3 linked regions of the Arabidopsis thaliana genome follow. The protein of the gene in region 2 purifies or fractionates together with the protein of the main gene of each other region. This does not show direct contact. Each region holds a gene or a part of one and is shown on either strand. Other genes may lie near its edges.

What was found. The genes of interacting proteins can lie anywhere in the genome.
Region 1: the proteins of AT5G16240 (region 2) and Hop3 fractionate together in Arabidopsis thaliana (co-fractionation; one large-scale study listed by BioGRID). This does not show direct contact.
Region 3: the proteins of AT5G16240 (region 2) and UNE5 fractionate together in Arabidopsis thaliana (co-fractionation; one large-scale study listed by BioGRID). This does not show direct contact.

The regions. Positions count from the first base shown.
Region 1 is NC_003075.7:7,337,518-7,343,399, forward strand, and holds Hop3 (stress-inducible protein), read right to left. Parts: upstream 3,845-5,882; 5' UTR 3,723-3,844; coding exon 2,886-3,722; intron 2,429-2,885; coding exon 2,140-2,428; intron 2,051-2,139; coding exon 1,741-2,050; intron 1,664-1,740; coding exon 1,537-1,663; coding exon of another isoform or gene 1,507-1,536; exon of another isoform or gene 1,463-1,506; coding exon 1,349-1,462; 3' UTR 501-1,348; downstream 1-500. Other genes in the region: AT4G12410 (SAUR-like auxin-responsive protein family), read right to left, coding at 5,439-5,882. UniProt on the Arabidopsis thaliana protein: Mediates the association of the molecular chaperones HSP70 and HSP90. Mediates nuclear encoded chloroplast preproteins binding to HSP90 prior to chloroplastic sorting. Involved in acclimation to heat.
Region 2 is NC_003076.8:5,304,809-5,310,675, reverse strand, and holds AT5G16240 (Plant stearoyl-acyl-carrier-protein desaturase family protein), read right to left. Parts: upstream 3,937-5,867; 5' UTR 3,696-3,936; coding exon 3,574-3,695; intron 2,446-3,573; coding exon 1,947-2,445; intron 1,848-1,946; coding exon 1,407-1,847; intron 1,160-1,406; coding exon 1,037-1,159; 3' UTR 715-1,036; downstream 1-714. Other genes in the region: AT5G16250 (uncharacterized protein), read left to right, coding at 1-412; AT5G16230 (Plant stearoyl-acyl-carrier-protein desaturase family protein), read right to left, coding at 4,732-5,301, 5,378-5,867. UniProt on the Arabidopsis thaliana protein: Converts stearoyl-ACP to oleoyl-ACP by introduction of a cis double bond between carbons 9 and 10 of the acyl chain.
Region 3 is NC_003071.7:19,479,424-19,484,515, reverse strand, and holds UNE5 (thioredoxin family protein), read right to left. Parts: upstream 3,263-5,092; 5' UTR 3,014-3,262; coding exon 2,862-3,013; intron 2,654-2,861; coding exon 2,569-2,653; intron 2,481-2,568; coding exon 2,383-2,480; intron 2,271-2,382; coding exon 2,215-2,270; intron 1,970-2,214; coding exon 1,852-1,969; intron 1,767-1,851; coding exon 1,739-1,766; intron 1,654-1,738; coding exon 1,562-1,653; intron 1,465-1,561; coding exon 1,308-1,464; coding exon of another isoform or gene 1,303-1,307; intron 1,223-1,302; coding exon 1,098-1,222; coding exon of another isoform or gene 1,090-1,097; intron 1,008-1,089; coding exon 833-1,007; 3' UTR 501-832; downstream 1-500. Other genes in the region: AT2G47480 (DUF3511 domain protein, putative (DUF3511)), read left to right, coding at 1-309.

The sequences.
Region 1 (5,882 bases), on a different chromosome or scaffold from region 2:
CACTTTTTCTAAGCATACAAATTATAACCTCTAAGTTGGACAAATCTCCTACTTTCTGCATACCCTTTAGTGTTTTTGTTCCTTTTCACGGAAACCATTAGACCAAGAGCTAGTCACTTTACTATTTGAATAATCTTATGATGACATTCTTTCCACATAAGCTCCATTTACTTTGGTAGTTTGGGAGCAGGTGTGAAAATCTTATCACTAGTCTAAAGTTAAACACTAAGTGCTCTTTTGATTTAATTTAAATAAACCTTCGGATTGTTAGCTTTTGGGAAAGACAAGTCCAAGAAGTAACGGTGAAGAGTGATCATGGAAGCAAATTAGGTACAATTATGGAAATACAAATATTTTTAGGCTGTTTGCCACATGAACAAAACATGCAAGTATATATGAATTATATCCTCTTAAATTACTATTTAACATCTATTAACCCTTTTGCATGGAATGTTTATGAAAAATCTATGCAAATTCTATTGCAAGAAAAAAAAAAAGTACTCTGTAATTTGGTTAACCATCGGTACACCTCCCCTTACGAATTTGTGATTTGTGTAGTGAACCGATTAACCGAATAGTATTTATTAGGAACATGTCATAATTTTGAAAATAATCGTTAATTAACAAAATAAAAAGTTATGGGAAATAGTTTTATGTTCTAAATCAAAATTCAGAAATTATTACTTATGTTTTTTCAGTTAGCAAAGGAAAATTACATATCTTAGATTCTGAAACTTAAATTCTAAAATTAAAACTCCTAAACTTTCATAGATTTTAAAATCTTAAGATCTTTTTGTTTTTGTTTTTTGGGCAAACAAAATCTTAAGATCTAAATCTTAAAATACTTTCCACAAACCGTTCCACTAGAGAAAAATCTATATATATATTTTTTTAAACTATATTTTGTATTAAAGAAAAGTGGAAGAGAAAATTCAACACAATCTGATTATTGCACAATTTCTTAGTCACCATAACGTGTGCAATGCACGTGAGGCCCGTCTAAAAAGACTTTTATTCCTCTGTAAAAGAGACATGTAGAAAACAAAAAAGATTTTACAGCTTTTGACTTTTAAATTATAATTTTCGACCAAAAAAGAATTATAGTTTTTTTTAAAATTTTTTGACAGCAATTATAAATTTCGTTTGAAGATTCTTTTGAGAAAATTCGAAGAAGTAGCATATAAAACTAGGAGAACACAGACTTGATTCATTCTACAACAACTCCTCAAACATGACCCAAACCAAATCAGAGTTTCATCAGTTTAACAAAAGCCCAAAAGAACGCAGTGAAAATTTGGAAACATCTTCGGTTTGATTCAATATACCACTCCGGTTTAGCATAACCAATTTACCGGACCTGAACAATTCCGGCACTAACCAGCTTCTGAATCTTGTTCATTACCATTGGGTTCTTCATATGCTCTTGTGCAGCTTTCGGATTCTCTTGAAAGTCCACTAGTACCTACAATAGACATCATCACACAAGTCTCACAGACAGCTTACGAGTTAGAACACAATGCTTGCCACTGCTTTTACCTGTCTCATCACTGGATCCGATAATATGTTCTGAACTTCAGGATCTTGCATTGCCTTTGCTTGTCTCTCCTTCAATTCTTCTGGAGTCAGATCACCACGGCTCGCTTTGTTTATCTGTTCCACACATCTGAAAACAACAACACTTTCACTAGACCGATCTTTGCAAGGTTAAACAACAAAGAGAGAATGCCAAAATTTGCAAACCTTCTAACACCATCAAGGAACTCCTGGTTCTTAGGATCATGTTTTAGCCCTTCTTGATACGTTTCCATAGCTTTATCGTATTCCTTCATGAAAAATTGAATAGCTCCTTTTCTACTGTATCCTTTCGTGAAACTTGGGTCCAGCTCAATGCATTTTTCAGCATCTTTCAATCCCTCTGGTAATGCTCCTAACTTTGTGTAACAAGCAGCTCTGTTGCTATATGCCCTCACGTCGTTCGGGTTTCTTTTGATTGCTTCTGAATAATGCTTCACTGCCTCTGGATACTTTTGTTCTTTAAAGAATCCATTACCTGCATCAATGAAGAAGTGTCAAATGCTTAATCCTAAAATCAAATCACGTTTCAAGATAGTAAGTGTAACTGAGGATCAGTATATATACCTTTCTCTCGCTCCTCCTCGGCTATCGTAGGATCAAAGTACTCCTGTTGCTCCAGCTCTTTCTTGACTTTCTCAGCATCGTTCAGTTTCTTCAATGTATCTGGATTACGATGCTCTGTAAGAGCTTTCTGGAAAGTCTCAATCGCAGGCTCAAAGTCTTTCGAGCATCTCGCCATTTTCACTAGAGCAGATCCTTTTCTAGTCAGAGCTCTTGCTATCATCTTGAAGTCAGAACGAAGTTCTCTGCCTCTTTCAACAGCCTTGTCACAGTCTTCAATGCACTCCTCGTACTGATAATTTCATTTGAGAAATGAAGTAAAACATCACACAAGATACAGTAAGATCCAGATGAACCAACTGTTAATTAAACAAGACTAATGCAAGAACACATAGACCAATGGAATTGAACCACTCAGGATACTTGAAGATTAATTGATTCCAGTAATAATAAAGATAACCACTTCTACAGAACAAGTGAATAAACTCCATCATGAAGCCATAAACCCTAAATTTCTACCTCATCTAAAGCTAACTACTTTCAGCACAAGTGAAAACTTAAGTTCAAAACTCTTAAATCTCCAACAAGAAGCAGATGAAAGTTATCAAAACCCATCAAGGTCATCACAAATGTACTAACTAGTGACAAGCTATACTAAACAGATAAGCTACTTCAAGAACCCAAGATCTCCTCCTTAATCTTAAAGTACCTAAAGGTTTAACTTTTAAGCCAAGTATAAGACTTAATACCTTCCCCATCTCAAGATAAACAGCAGCACGATTCGTCAAATACGAAATATCCTCATCATCGAGCTCCATGGCCTTAGTATAATGTTCAACAGCTCTCCCAAAATCCTTCTTCTTATAAGCAACATTTCCTTCCCCTTTCTCCTTCAAAGCCTTCTCCTTTCTCTCCTTCTTCTGCCTCTCCTCCTCCGTCAACTCCATAGGTTCCATCTCCGGTTCAGGCTCTTTCCTCTCATCAGCCTCCTTCATCTCAGTATCTTCACCACTAGATCCACCAAACTTCACATTCAACAAAACCCCTAAAGCCTTCATAACTCTCTTATCCTTCATATACAAATTAAGATTATTAGGGTTCCTCTGAATCTCCTTCATCGTCTTAACAAAATCATCCTGCTCCAAATAAACCCTAGTCCCCGGATCCGCCGTCAACTTCTCCCACATCTCCTTCCCTTGAAACGCATCAACAAAAGGATTCGACTTTGACGAAACCCTAGATCTCGAAGCATCAGCTAATCCCGATTTAAGCATCTCATTACTCGGATCAATCTCTAATCCTTTCTTATACGAATCAACCGCTTCATCAAACTTGGACAATCCAATAAACGCAGCACCTAATCGGCTATATCCTTTAGACCAATCAGGTTTAAGCTCTATAGTCTTCTTCGCGTCTGATAAAGCTTCTTCGTAACGGTGGAGAGAAGCGTAAGAAGCGGATCTGTTTGAGTAGAGGATGTGATTGGTTGGTGAAAGGTTGATTGCTTCTGTGAAATGGGTTATTGCGGTGGCGTAATCGCCGGAAGAGAAAGCTGCGTTTCCTTTGGATTTTGCTTCTTCCGCCATTGAATTGGATTTGGTTTAGGTATCGTGAGAATCTGCTTGATTGCATTTTTAAAAACAGAGGAAGATGAAGAAGAAGGCACAAGAGAGTTCTCGAAATTTCGAATTTTTTTGTGTATGTCGAGAATGTTCTTTTGTAGCCGTGGAAAAATGTTTTTAAATCTTAAAAATACAAAAGGAAAAGAAACGCTAGAGAAAGGGGTCGAACCTCTGACCTTGTGGTTAACAGCCACACGCTCTAACCAACTGAGCTACTCCAGCTTTTTGATAAGTGATTCGTTATTTATGTAAATATACCGTCTAGAAAAGAATAAACATCCGTTTATGTTCTGTGCTTACTTTTTTATGCTATGTCTTTGTCTTCTGTCAGAAGATTAAGCGTCAGAAAGACATCGTGGAGTTAGCAACGAGACGATCAAAATTCTTCAATCCGAAGTAGTAGTAAACCAGAGGTGAGAAGACGACCAGTTTGGGAGAGAAAACCAAATCGGAGGTATGTATGGTGATTAAAGTTTTGGTTATGATAAATAATATCATCATAAGCGAATAGTTTTGTACGTTTTTGGTTTAGGTTTTAATCAAATGTGTCTTTACTTTTAATAAGTTTAGGTTTGATATTTGGTTTTTTTGTTTTTTTCTAAACATACCACATATAATCATATATATTAATACTCAAAGAACAAGTAGTACATGGTTTCTCCAAATACTTGTAACCAACCAAAGTGGTAAACTACAATCTAAAAAGCAAAATACAAATCACATGAAGATGCAAATTTAGCAAGTGCATCTCCTCTGCACATTTGTTCTCACCTCATCTTCTAAATTTTAACATATTTGATCACTTTCCTACAATATGATTTGAATTTGTATTCAAATTTGGGAAATTTTGAAAATTACCACCTTTATGATACCATTTTTCAAAAAGACCAGAAAAAGGTTGTTCAAAAATTCTAGTTTCATATCATTTCTTAAGAAAAATCTTCTAAGCACTATAAAACATTAAAAATTTTGTGAAAAATCTTATAAATGTTTGATATTATGCATTATAGAAACTTTATAAACGTTTTTATAATATGCTCTATAAAAGTTAATAAAACAAATTCTATGATTGCATTTTGTGTTACATTGAAAATTAACAAAAAAAAAAAACAGTGGTATTATTAAAAAAAAATAAAAATCATAAAAGTGGTATCTCAAAAATTCTTCTGAAATATATTTAGATAGAAGTAATTTCATAATTAACATTATATGGAAATTCTAAATATTGATTGTTTCACTTCAATTGGGGTTTATAGTGGATGATAGGTTTCAGATACAGCAATACACCATCACTCACTGTATTTGATATATTGAAATATAAGTATTCAAAAATACTGATAGCCCAATTTCAGTTTTTTCTGTTTTTTTTTTTTAATTTCAGTTTTTATGTGTGTAATTTTATAAGTTAGAACATAATTTCAGTTTTGTTCTAACTTATAAAATTACACACATAAATCTAAACCATATAGTATTATAGGATGTCAATGTGGTCTATCATCCATGAAATAAACTGATACAAATAATTATCTTGTATTTATGAATCGGTATTTATCGTATAACATAGATGGTAAAAAAAACTAATATTCACAAATTAAAGGAAATCATCCTTCTCTGTACTGTATAAGTGTATATAAATTTTTTTAATCCTCTTTTGATTTTTGACTATTTTATAAATTCAAATTATATAATCTTGTAAGAATTTTTCCTGCGGCAATGATCCCATGCAGCGATCCTCAACTGGACTTTTTCAAAATCCGAAACCCGACAAGGAATAGTGATCCGACCCGGTTGATCAAACCCATGAACCCGCTCCGCTTGCTCCAACAATTCTCCAAACAATGGATGATTAAAGTAAATCACCGGCACCACAACTCGCCGCGTGTCATCGTCTGATTCGCCGACATGAACCACCAAATGTCCTCGAGGAACAACCCGGTTCGACTTTTTCGGATCCTTACCCAACCGGATCTGATTCTGACCCGGATTCTTCTTGCTTCCACCGCACAATCTCTTAGCTCCACGGCTTAAACACCGTGCTAATGACCGGATTCCGGTAACCGGGTTTGTGATTCGGGTCGGGCATCTGTTTCTTGGTATCCATTTGAAAATTTTGACAAATCTGTG
Region 2 (5,867 bases):
CATCTGCGGATTCCTCCTCATCCTCCTCCACGCCACCACAATCGCCGCCGCAGTCTCAGGCTGCGCTGCTGCATCTTGCGGAAGAAACCGTTGGTACGCCGCTCACATGGTTGCAACTGTGCTCACTGCTATATTCCAAGGCTCTGTCTCTGTTCTCATCTTCACCAACACGTCTAAATTCCTCGGGAGTCTTAAGTCGTATGTGCGTGAGGAAGATGCTGCTGTGATTTTGAAACTCGGTGGTGGTCTTTGTATTGTGATCTTTTGTCTTGATTGGATCGTTCTTGTGTGTGCTTTCTTCTTGAAGTACTATGCTTATGTCGATGGTGGTGATGGCGTTGCGATGAAGAGAACTGGTAAGGTTCAGAGTGAGGAGAATCCGAAGGACTGGCCATGGCCGTTCCAAGTTTAAAGTTTGTGTCCTTTTGTTTTGTGGTGAGAACTGTTGAGTTAGATCAATATCAAATGTTGGTTTTATGGTTCTGTTTCGGTGGGTATTATTGTGATTTGTTCATTTGTTTTTTGAGTGTTTGATGTAATTCGTCAATGATCTGTTACATATATAAAGTCTTTTCTTATAATTTGTCACTTCGTTTCCTTAAGCGGATACACAAACATAGGAACTTGATGCATAAAAATTGAACTTTTACAAAATCAACCAGTTTATGAAGAAAGTGAGGTAATTACTGTTAACCACAAAAGAAACAAATTTGAAAGTAGAGAGAACGAAACACAAAATTTTACTTTTTAAATATCTTATTGGATTCAGAAGAAGAGAAAACATTACAGAAGTGGATTCAATACTAGCAACAAATAGAGGTGCAGAAATAAATAAATAAAATCGTCAAAACAAAGCAAATTCTTTGGAGTAAGTCATTTAAGTGATCCAAACAAAGCAAAGTCTAACACATACTTTATCTACACACGTTTCCAACATAACATACTTCTGGCTTCTTCATCAAGGTGTTGGTGAAGATCTTTTATAGCTTGCTTGGGATTATAATATGGAAGAATTAATTGCTTAACATTACTTCTTTTAAGCCCTGACTTCTCGACCAAAAATCCAGCTGAATGGTATGTTTTTTGCTGCTTCTTTGGTTCTCCCTTGAGCCCTCTCTTCAAGTTTGCGGATTCTAGCAGGTAATCCACAGAGGTAGTCCTGTTCGAAGCCATTAAAACAAAGCGAAAAGTCAGAGTAGAGTGTAAAGAACTCAGATTCCAATTTGATGAATCTCCAAGTGCACAGGAGAAGTTACAATGCAATTATAGATATGATAGGTTCTGTAAGTTCCTTAATGCAAGGTGAGGTTTTTTAACAAAGTAAACAAACTTAATAGAAGTTGGATGTTTCATGTCAAGTCAAAAACAAGAAAACAAAAACGGTTTCATGGTTCTAATGTTGTTACCTGGGCCCTGTTTCCTTCACTAGAAAGGTCTGACAACTTCTCCACATTCCACCTTTCCACAAGATGTTGCAGTATATCAGCATAGTCCTTGGCAGTGTAGACACCAAGCCTCTGGGCCACGGACGAGAAGTGATCAAATAGATTATCATCACGACCATCATACATCAAATGAGCAGGCATCGAGATCTTTTTCCTCATCATGTCAGCAAAGCCCACGACTGTGGTATCAGGATCAATTTCAAAGAGCTTCTCTACAATCTTGGTGTAGGCGTGTTCATGGCGCCTCTCATCAGCAGCAATGGTGCCACAAATCTTCCCAAGTGTCAAGTCTCCAAGATCCTTTGCCAGTCTAGCAGTGTTTCCATGGGAGATGAATGTAGCTCTTTCTTGAAAAGAAGTATATATGAATCCCAAGTAAGGATTGTTTTCAGTTTTTGGATCCTACAAAACAAAACACAATCAATACGACCAAAAAAAGAGACTTGTAGGTTTAGCCTTTATAAGAAAAGCTAGCCATATTATTATACTAAAGGAGCTTACCATTCCAGAACCAATGAGGTATTGAATAGTTTTTTCAATCTGTCTCATGTCTACTCGTCCAGACAGATAAAGGTACTTGTTAAGAAGATCACCATGTCTATTCTCTTCCGCAGTCCATGCCCTAGTCCATACTGCCCAAGGAGTTGGACTTGCTCCCGTCTCATCTCTAACCCCGTCCAATGTATTAATCATGGTCTGATAAGTCGGAAGTGCTTCCTCTGTGATCATATCACCAACAAGCACTATAAGGTAGTCATCAGAGAGCTCCTTACACCTTTCTCTTAACTCCTTAACTTGGTCATAGAATCCTTCTGACTCAGGTTCAGGGAGAAAATCAGTTGGTTGCCATGATTTCTCAACAGGTTTTAAGTAAGCCAACAAGTTGTCATTAGCCCATCCTTCTAAGGACTTGAAAATCTCCAGCTTTTGTGGTGGCATTGAATACTTCACTTGAAGATGAACCTCTCGAGGAGGAATATACAGTTTCCTTCCAACCGCTCTGCAATTTTTCCATTAAAGAAGATTCCAAAATGATCAATAGAATAAGAAACTTGAGAGACTGAAAATACTGTTATAATTAACATTTAACACAGCCACCAGAATTAGATGATAGGGTTTCGTGTTATTCAGGTAACCAACTGCAAACAAGTTATAGTCTTTAAGACACCTCCAAAAAGGAGATATCCCAACACGAGAATAATCAGTTTCTTAAAAGAAAAAGACAAGCTAATGTGTGATTCAGTGTTCATCATAGATGATATAACAACAGTGAAGGCACTTGCAGTACTACAAGACAAAGCATGCTCTAAATCAAAATTTCTTCTGACCAAAACAGTATCACCAAAACAACAAGCAAAAACATTTCAGACCTAACTTGACCAACTACAGTGCATATAAACACATACATAGATGTGTGCATATGCATAAACATAGAGTAAACGCAATCTACAAAAAGTCAAGACAATATTAAAAAGCCTTAACCAATTTATGTGGAATGTGATTTGATTTTAAAAAGACTTACACTAGCAATCAATTAAGAAAGCATTGATGGAACATTGTAGCCTGATAGGCCAACAACCAAATTAAATAATAGTTTAGTCAAAAAAAGGGAACAATCCATGCATGCATATACTCCATAAACTAGTGATTACAAATACTGAATTGTACAAGAAAGACAAAGATTGCAATTTCCCTATCAGATTTTTTTTTTAAATGCAAAAATTAAGAGTTTTGCGATGTCAAACATGTGATCGCAAACATGTGACATGTCCATAGCTTCAGCAGAAAACAAACTGAGAAGATATATATGATAAAAGTAACTATAATGCTTTAAATAAAAGTAACTAACTATAAATATAATGATCATTTTAAGCAATACGTAAGAACAGAGCACACACAAGCGTATGATCAAAAGCCAATGCTTTAGATTAGTAATCACAGAACGAAATAAATCTGCATTTAAATACAAATTTGATAGAAGCAGGAGATTGCATATAAAAAGCCAATGTTAATAATGATCATCGCTGAACAAACTTAAACCCCAGAAAGAACGAAACCTCAAAATCAGGAAAATTTTGGGGAAACAGAAAAATAAACAGAATTTCTGGAAATGAAGAGAGAAACTCACGTAGAGTCGGAACGAATAGTGAAAACTCTGGAAGATTTGGAGCCATGAGAATGAGAAGAACCGTGATGATAAACAGATGATGAGGAAGAGAACAAAGCGATCCGATCCATAGCCATAACCATTGTTTCTTCTTAACGAAACAAAAATGGAGAAAAGACAAACAAAATAAGATTGAGATATAAGAAAAAAAAATCGATGATAACAGAGTGAAATGTATTTAAGGGAGGAAGCAGAAAGCAAAGAAAAGGAAAGGTGAAGAACCAAAACGATCAATTTCAGAAAACTCTCTGGAACGTGATTATTTCAGCAAGTGTGTGTGCATTTATTGCATAAACGACTCTGTTTGAAAGTCTCTTAAATGTCCCTTCTAGGTTTTTTTTATTACATCACTGCCATTTTCTTTACCTGTTTTGTCTACTTCTGTCGTTATTTGTTAAAGAGGCCCATGGGCCGCTGCAGCTTGAAACGCAAAAAATGCTTGTCGTATTGTAATCATGCTGTCAAAGCAAAATCATATTACGCGACAAAGATCTTTTAGTATGACGGTACAAAACAATTCATGTGTCACTGAATTGTCGTCATAACTCATAACAATAAACTCTTCTTATGACACGAATTTCTCCAAGTCTTTATGTCATCACGGCTGCATGCAACTACAATCTCTTAATAGTTGTGACCATGCTCCTAGCTCCATGCTTTGCAAACAATATGGGTTATTAATAGATGTGTCATCTTCAAAAGAGACTCTCAACTAGTAGTGGATTTATTCAATTGTCGAAAGACATTACACAATGAATCATGATATCCATCATTGAATCAATCGTTTTACCGGTGTTCAAGTTGTTCACACGAGATATGGTTTAACAATCGTGAAGCCGATCAAACTGGCTCGACTGGGATAGACAGAAGATCAACATTGTTATAATTATCCTCATTGTTGTTTCAAGACTGATCAAAACATTATAAAGTTAATAAAAGATGGATATAGTGGTGAATAAATGAAAACTTGTGAGATGTCCATATAAAATTATTAAAATATACTATATAGTTTGGTTACTCACATTCACAAGTGACAACTTGCAACCTGATCACAAACATAATTTATTTATTTATATTTGTTTGGTTTTTTTTTGTTTGTTTGTTATTTTAAATATCTATCTATAGTTTCACATCTCTACCAAAAACCCAGCTAAACGAAACAGAAGGTTTTGACACAAGTTTGACCCTATCATTAGCTCTTTCCTCTAACCTCTTGATCCTCTGCGGCAAGGTGCACAAGTACTCCTGTGCTCTCCTTCCTTCTCCTGATAACCCCAATCCCAAACTCTCCACCTTCCACCGCCGCAACAGAAACTCAAGTATCCCAGCGTAATCCGCCGCCGTGTAAACTCCAATCCGCTGCGCCACGGCGGCGTAATGATCAAACAAATCGTTATCTCTTCCGTCGTGCATAAGATGAGCCGGCATTGTGATCCGTTTCTTCATCATACTCGCTAACGCCTGAACAGATCCGTCAGGGTCGATCTCGAATAGCTTCTCCACTATCTTCGTGTACGCCGTCTCGTGTCGCTTCTCGTCGGCAGCGATTGTGCCGCAGATCTTCGCGAGGGTAACATCGCCGTATGTTGTGGCTAGCCTAGCCGTGTTGCCGTGAGAGATGAATGTTGCTCGCTCTTGGAATGATGTGTAGATGAATCCATTGTATGGATTGTTCTCAAATTTCGAATCCTAAAACGTAACGTTGCCAAAAAAAATATTAATAATGTAACCAAATCAATAGTAACGATAAATGTGAAATACTTACCATACCAGAACCAATAAGATATTGTATAGTCTTCTCAACATGTCGCATATCAACACGACCAGTTAGATAAAGATACTTGTTGAGTAAGTCACCGTGACGGTTTTCCTCCGCCGTCCAGGCTCTAATCCACACAGCCCACGGCGATAAACTCCCACCGGTTTCATCCTTAACACCGTCTAGTGTGTTTAACGTCGTTTGATACGTTGGAAGTGCTTCTTCTGTGATCATATCTCCCACAAGAACTACAAAGTAATCGTCAGGTATCTCTTTTGTTCTTTCTCTGATCTCTTTTACTCGGTCGTAGAATTCGTCGTCGTTCTCTGGCGCAGGTAAGAAGTCTTGTGGTTGCCATGAATCTTCTACCGGTTTGAGATAAGGTAGTAGTTTTTGTTCTGCCCAATTTTCCATTGATTTGAAGATCTCAAGCTTCTCCTGTGGTATTGTGTGTGTTAATTGGTTATTTACTTCTTTGATAGGTCGAAAATGATTG
Region 3 (5,092 bases), on a different chromosome or scaffold from region 2:
TACGGGTCGGGTCAGAGAACTTACGGCGTTGATCGGAGGAAGGAAATCGTGAGTGGTAAGAGAAATCAGATCTACGGGACTCGGGATTATCCTCCGTCACTGCCGCCTCCGCCGGGAAAAGTAGCGGCGGGAAGGAGCAACGCGTCGTCGTCTTTGCGAATCGGAGGTTTAAGCGATGCGGAGATGAAGAGGAAGAAGAGAATCGCGAGGTATAAAGCTTATACAGTTGAAGGTAAAGTTAAATCGACTTTGAAGAATGGATTCCGATGGATTAAAAACAAATGCTGTCAGATTGTCCATCGTTTCTGACTTCTGAGTTAGAAACAGCAGTCTCGGTGCATGTCCGGATTAAAAACCATTGAGAGACTTTTTTTGTTTTGGTTATGTTTTCTTTGTAGTCCTACTTAATTTACTTATTTGATTAGCTATTGCCTAGTAGTATATCACATTGCTTCCGTGTTACTTTTTTCATAGACGAAACAGTAACGGAGATGATATGTACTTTTAAAAATGAGACAAATGTTTTATTTATTGGATGTCCTTTGTATACCTCAATGACCCATTACAGACTTTTTATGAACACGAGCCTAGCCCATTAATAATGAATACGAGCCTGGCCCATTACTGAACCTTTTTTTTTAACGCGAATGAAGTTTATGATTATCGTGGTCGCTTGTTCACCAGAGACAGATAAACTTGGGTTCAAAAGAGTTTCAGAACTAACCAGAAATAACCACAGACGTTCTTGATCTTGACAAACATAAAATCTCAAAACAGTATCAGTTATAAACTCTCTCGACTCCTATTCTCTTAGCTTCAAGCTATATGACTTTTAAGAAGAAGCAACGAACGTGGTTAGGATATTTCTCTTGAGAGTGAGTTCATCAGCTTTCACTGGACTTATCGACTTCCCAAGCACCCGTCCAAGCCTCTCCGTTTCTTTGCTAGCATAGTCTGAACCTTTTTCTATGTAGCTCTTTGCGAGTTTCAAGTAAAGCTTTCCATACCTATAGAGACATCATGAAAGCCCAATAATTAAAGAGGCAACTTTCAACACTCACACTCCATGTATCGATTAAGAGTTACTACTAACATACCTCGTGGTGGAGCCCTTAAGGGTACTTGCTTCCTCTTCTATGCGAGACAACACTGCCTTCTTCTCATCTTCACTAGCTGCAACTAACTCTTTTACCAAAGCATCTAAGCTTTCGACTATACCAGCCTATTGAGAGTGTGATAGAATCAACATAAGTTTTCAATTTTTAGTGGGAAATGGTGATTCTGCAGAAGACATGTTTTTACCGAACCTTTGAAGTAAGCTGCCCTTTACTGTCCCTGCTGGTCCCAGATTTCTCGTTGATGAAGCTTACAAAGTCATCTAAATCCCTGCCACCGTCATAATCGTGACCAGCTTTGTTGTCCTTTGGGAAGAATTTCAATGTTGGGAATCCACTCACTCCATATCTGAATATAAGGTACTTGTCTTTATGTTTTGGTTTTATGAAACATAAATGACTTTAAACAGTAAAATCGGTATTAATAAAATGCCTGTCCAACTTACTTCTCGCCAAGGGCTTTGTGTGCATCAGCATCCAAATTGGCGATGACTACACCTTCTTCCTGTTTAAACACTGTGGCTACCTTTTCGTATGTCTGATAATACAAAGAAAAAAGCATTAGTTATGAAGCATAGATGACTATATATCTATAATAAGAGTAAACAGATAGTTGAGCTTACGGGAGCGAGTGATTTGCAGTGGCCACACCTGGAAGATGGAAAATTGATATTAGAAGATAGCAGCATGAAAGCAAAACCATGACGGTGAGGAGAGAGATAACAAGTATGGTTACCATGGTGCATAAAATTCGACTAGGACATCTTTGTTTTGATCCAGAACAATCTCATCGAAATTGTCAGGTGTCAAAACAACCACGTTTTGTGGAACTGCAGCTAATTTTACGTTGGTGCCTGAAACATATTTGTTCAATACGTCAGTTGTTTGCAACATAGGGAGGTATGTCGGAACAAAATTTATCGAAGAAGAATTATAAAGACAACAAGTGGGAGAAACAAATGGCGAGCATATATCCTAAAGTGACAAATGATGGTACATGTCGCCAACTAAATTTTAGTCATAAACCAAGCTAAAACAAGTTTCCCACAAAAGTAAATATCTATAATCCGAAATGATACAAGCTTAGCTACTATCATACCTCCTTCCTTGTTCACGTATTCAGCCAAAGCTTCAGCATTGCGTGGACCCTCATACCTATTCAATAAGATGAACAGAAAAAACAAACAAAATCATTCACTATCTATAAACAAAAGACATCCACCAAATAAGTAATCTGCTTAGAGAGAATAAACAGTAAAAAGCATACTTTTGAGGTTCAAGAGATCCTTTAGGAAACCACTGAATGGTTGGGTATCCACTAACACCATATTTAGTACAGACACTCTTTTGCTCATCACAATCAACCTTCACCACAATACACAAGTTGAAACAATCTATCATTCATCTATCTTTTAAACATTGGAGCTGAATACCGAAATAGAATCACACTAACCTTTGCAATCAACACAGACTTAGCCTTCTTGAAGCTTGCCCCTAGCTTTTCATACTCTGGAGCAAGTTTCTTGCAGTGACCACACCTATTATTAAAACCATGTCCAATTCCATAAATGCAATTAGTCAGATTCAACAGCACACATCAGTAAGCTCTAATTTCTCAGTAAAACATATAAATCGAAATCATGCTTATTAATCCAGAAGACTGCAATCACAGATCAAAACATTTCTCGACCAGAAGATTTACAGATCAAAAAGGATCGCATCCGAATTGAGAGAATTGAACCATACCAGGGAGCGTAAAACTCGACGAGAGCTCCTTTATCTTTACCAACTTCCTTTTCGAAGCTATCGTCAGTCAAAACAACCACATCGTCAGCTACGGCTGAAACCAGAAGCAACGCGAGTAACGCAAAACCAAACCAGATCTGAGATTTCGCCATTTTTTTTTCTGCTTCTCACTTAAGCTTTGATCTTTAGAACAAGTGCTCTGCTCTCTGTTTATTAAAACGTTCTTCTCTCGTTATTATTTCTTCCCTTAGAACAGAAGATACAAAGGAAAAAAGAAAAACAATGACGTGGCGTGATATCAATCGTTGATTTAATCACATTAATACGAACGGTGATCGAGTGGTCTAATTACGTGGCTGGGTTACATGTCGGGCTATGAATGGTTTAGCTCTCCACATAATTTCACGGACAAGACAATTGAAAAAGTCTTTTTCCTAATTAGAGAAAAGAAGAAGACCCTATACTTTCTTTAGTTTCGGAAAATACGCCCTTATTTTAAAAATTAATAATCTGACCAACAATAGAACTGTACGAGGCTGATTAATGGGCTTATAACTGGAATACGGGTAACTGGGTAAGTAAACAAGCCCAATAACGACATGATATATTGCTAGGCTTAACGAATCATCAAAACATTTCAATGTTTTAAGTAGCAATCTTATCTATGATAGTCTGATATCTACAAAGTGTTAACATTCACATTGTTATTTTAAGAGACTCAGATTGAACGTTTCTTTTTTAAAGTTGAAATTTTATATATAAATTAAGAAATGATTTTGATACCTGGCCAATTCTTCAGCGGATCAAAGACTCTCTCCAACATCAAACCTCACAAAACATGACCTTAAGGTGCATTCACTTTGAAAAATCTCTTAATACACACACATAAAACTACAAAAGTTTAGCTGTTTATTAGTATGCCATTACCATATAAATTTCAGTTTTAAAAGCAATTTCTTCAGTTTGTGTGTTGAGAAATTATATTCCAAGGCATACTAACAATTTTCTTAGAGATAATTTGTTTAAACTTTAGATATCACTATGAAATTTTTCAATTTTTTTTATCAATCAATTTTCTTTTTGTTAAACAACATATTAGAATAGAGAAGAAGGAAAAGTACATGACATCACGTGGGCATTCTAGATACCGTGGAACCAAGTCGGACTTATGAGAAAGCGATCTTTTTATTTCTCCCTTATTGTCTCTATTTACAAACTTTTCCTTTGTGTTTTTTGTACATAGCAAATTTGCAAGTTGCCTTCTGTTCATAAATTTAATCTTCGAAACACAAATTTAATGCGTAGGCCGTTGCCCACAAAATGCATATGTCTAGGTCCCTATGATGTTTATAAAAATGAAGTCGTTGGTGCATGCTTGCTATTGGTCATCTAATCACTAGTTAGAAATGGTTGAAATTGTTTTTTTTTCATAAAATTTGCCGAGTTCAAGATTCTTAACTCTTAAGATCGTATATCATTTTCGGTCTGCAACTAAGTTTCAATGCTTCTATACGTTAACTCAAACCATGATAATTACATTAACATTATAAGGACGCATATATTATAGTGTTATCTGTTGTCAACTATATATATATAGATTACTTACTACTCATTTACAGAATTGGGTTAATTTCATGTCTCTACGATAAGAAGGACAAGAGTTAATTTGATTGTTCCAACATCCATAATAATTGAATATATATCTACTTGTTTGGAGTTTCGTACAAAGGAGAGTTGGAACACTCAATGTGAAGATTCGTTCATGTCACGTTCCAGTAATCACTTGAATGGCACGTGATGATTCGCAGATGTGATGCAGCTTTCTGTTGGTGTACAAGAACAAAAAAAAGGGGGAAAAAAACTATGTTTACTCGCTTCAAAATGATTGAGGTAATAATATTTGGCCGGCAATATCACAAGAGAAAAACAATGATAGTTCTCGTCGCTACTCCGATTGTTTGACAATGATGATATGTATTAAATTTTAGGAGATGAGATTGATTACCAGTTCAGAAATATTAAACGTGATTTTACATTCCGAAAGAGGTACATATAATAGATGCTTCCAACTAAAGATTTTCTTTTCTAATTTGGCGTATTTAATGTCAATAGAAATATATACAGCCCAAACAAATGTACACCTACATTTCGTACCCTCTTTATTAAATTACATGAAAATAGTAAATACGTTACAAAGAAAAACATCATATTAGTTTAATTCTTCCACTAAA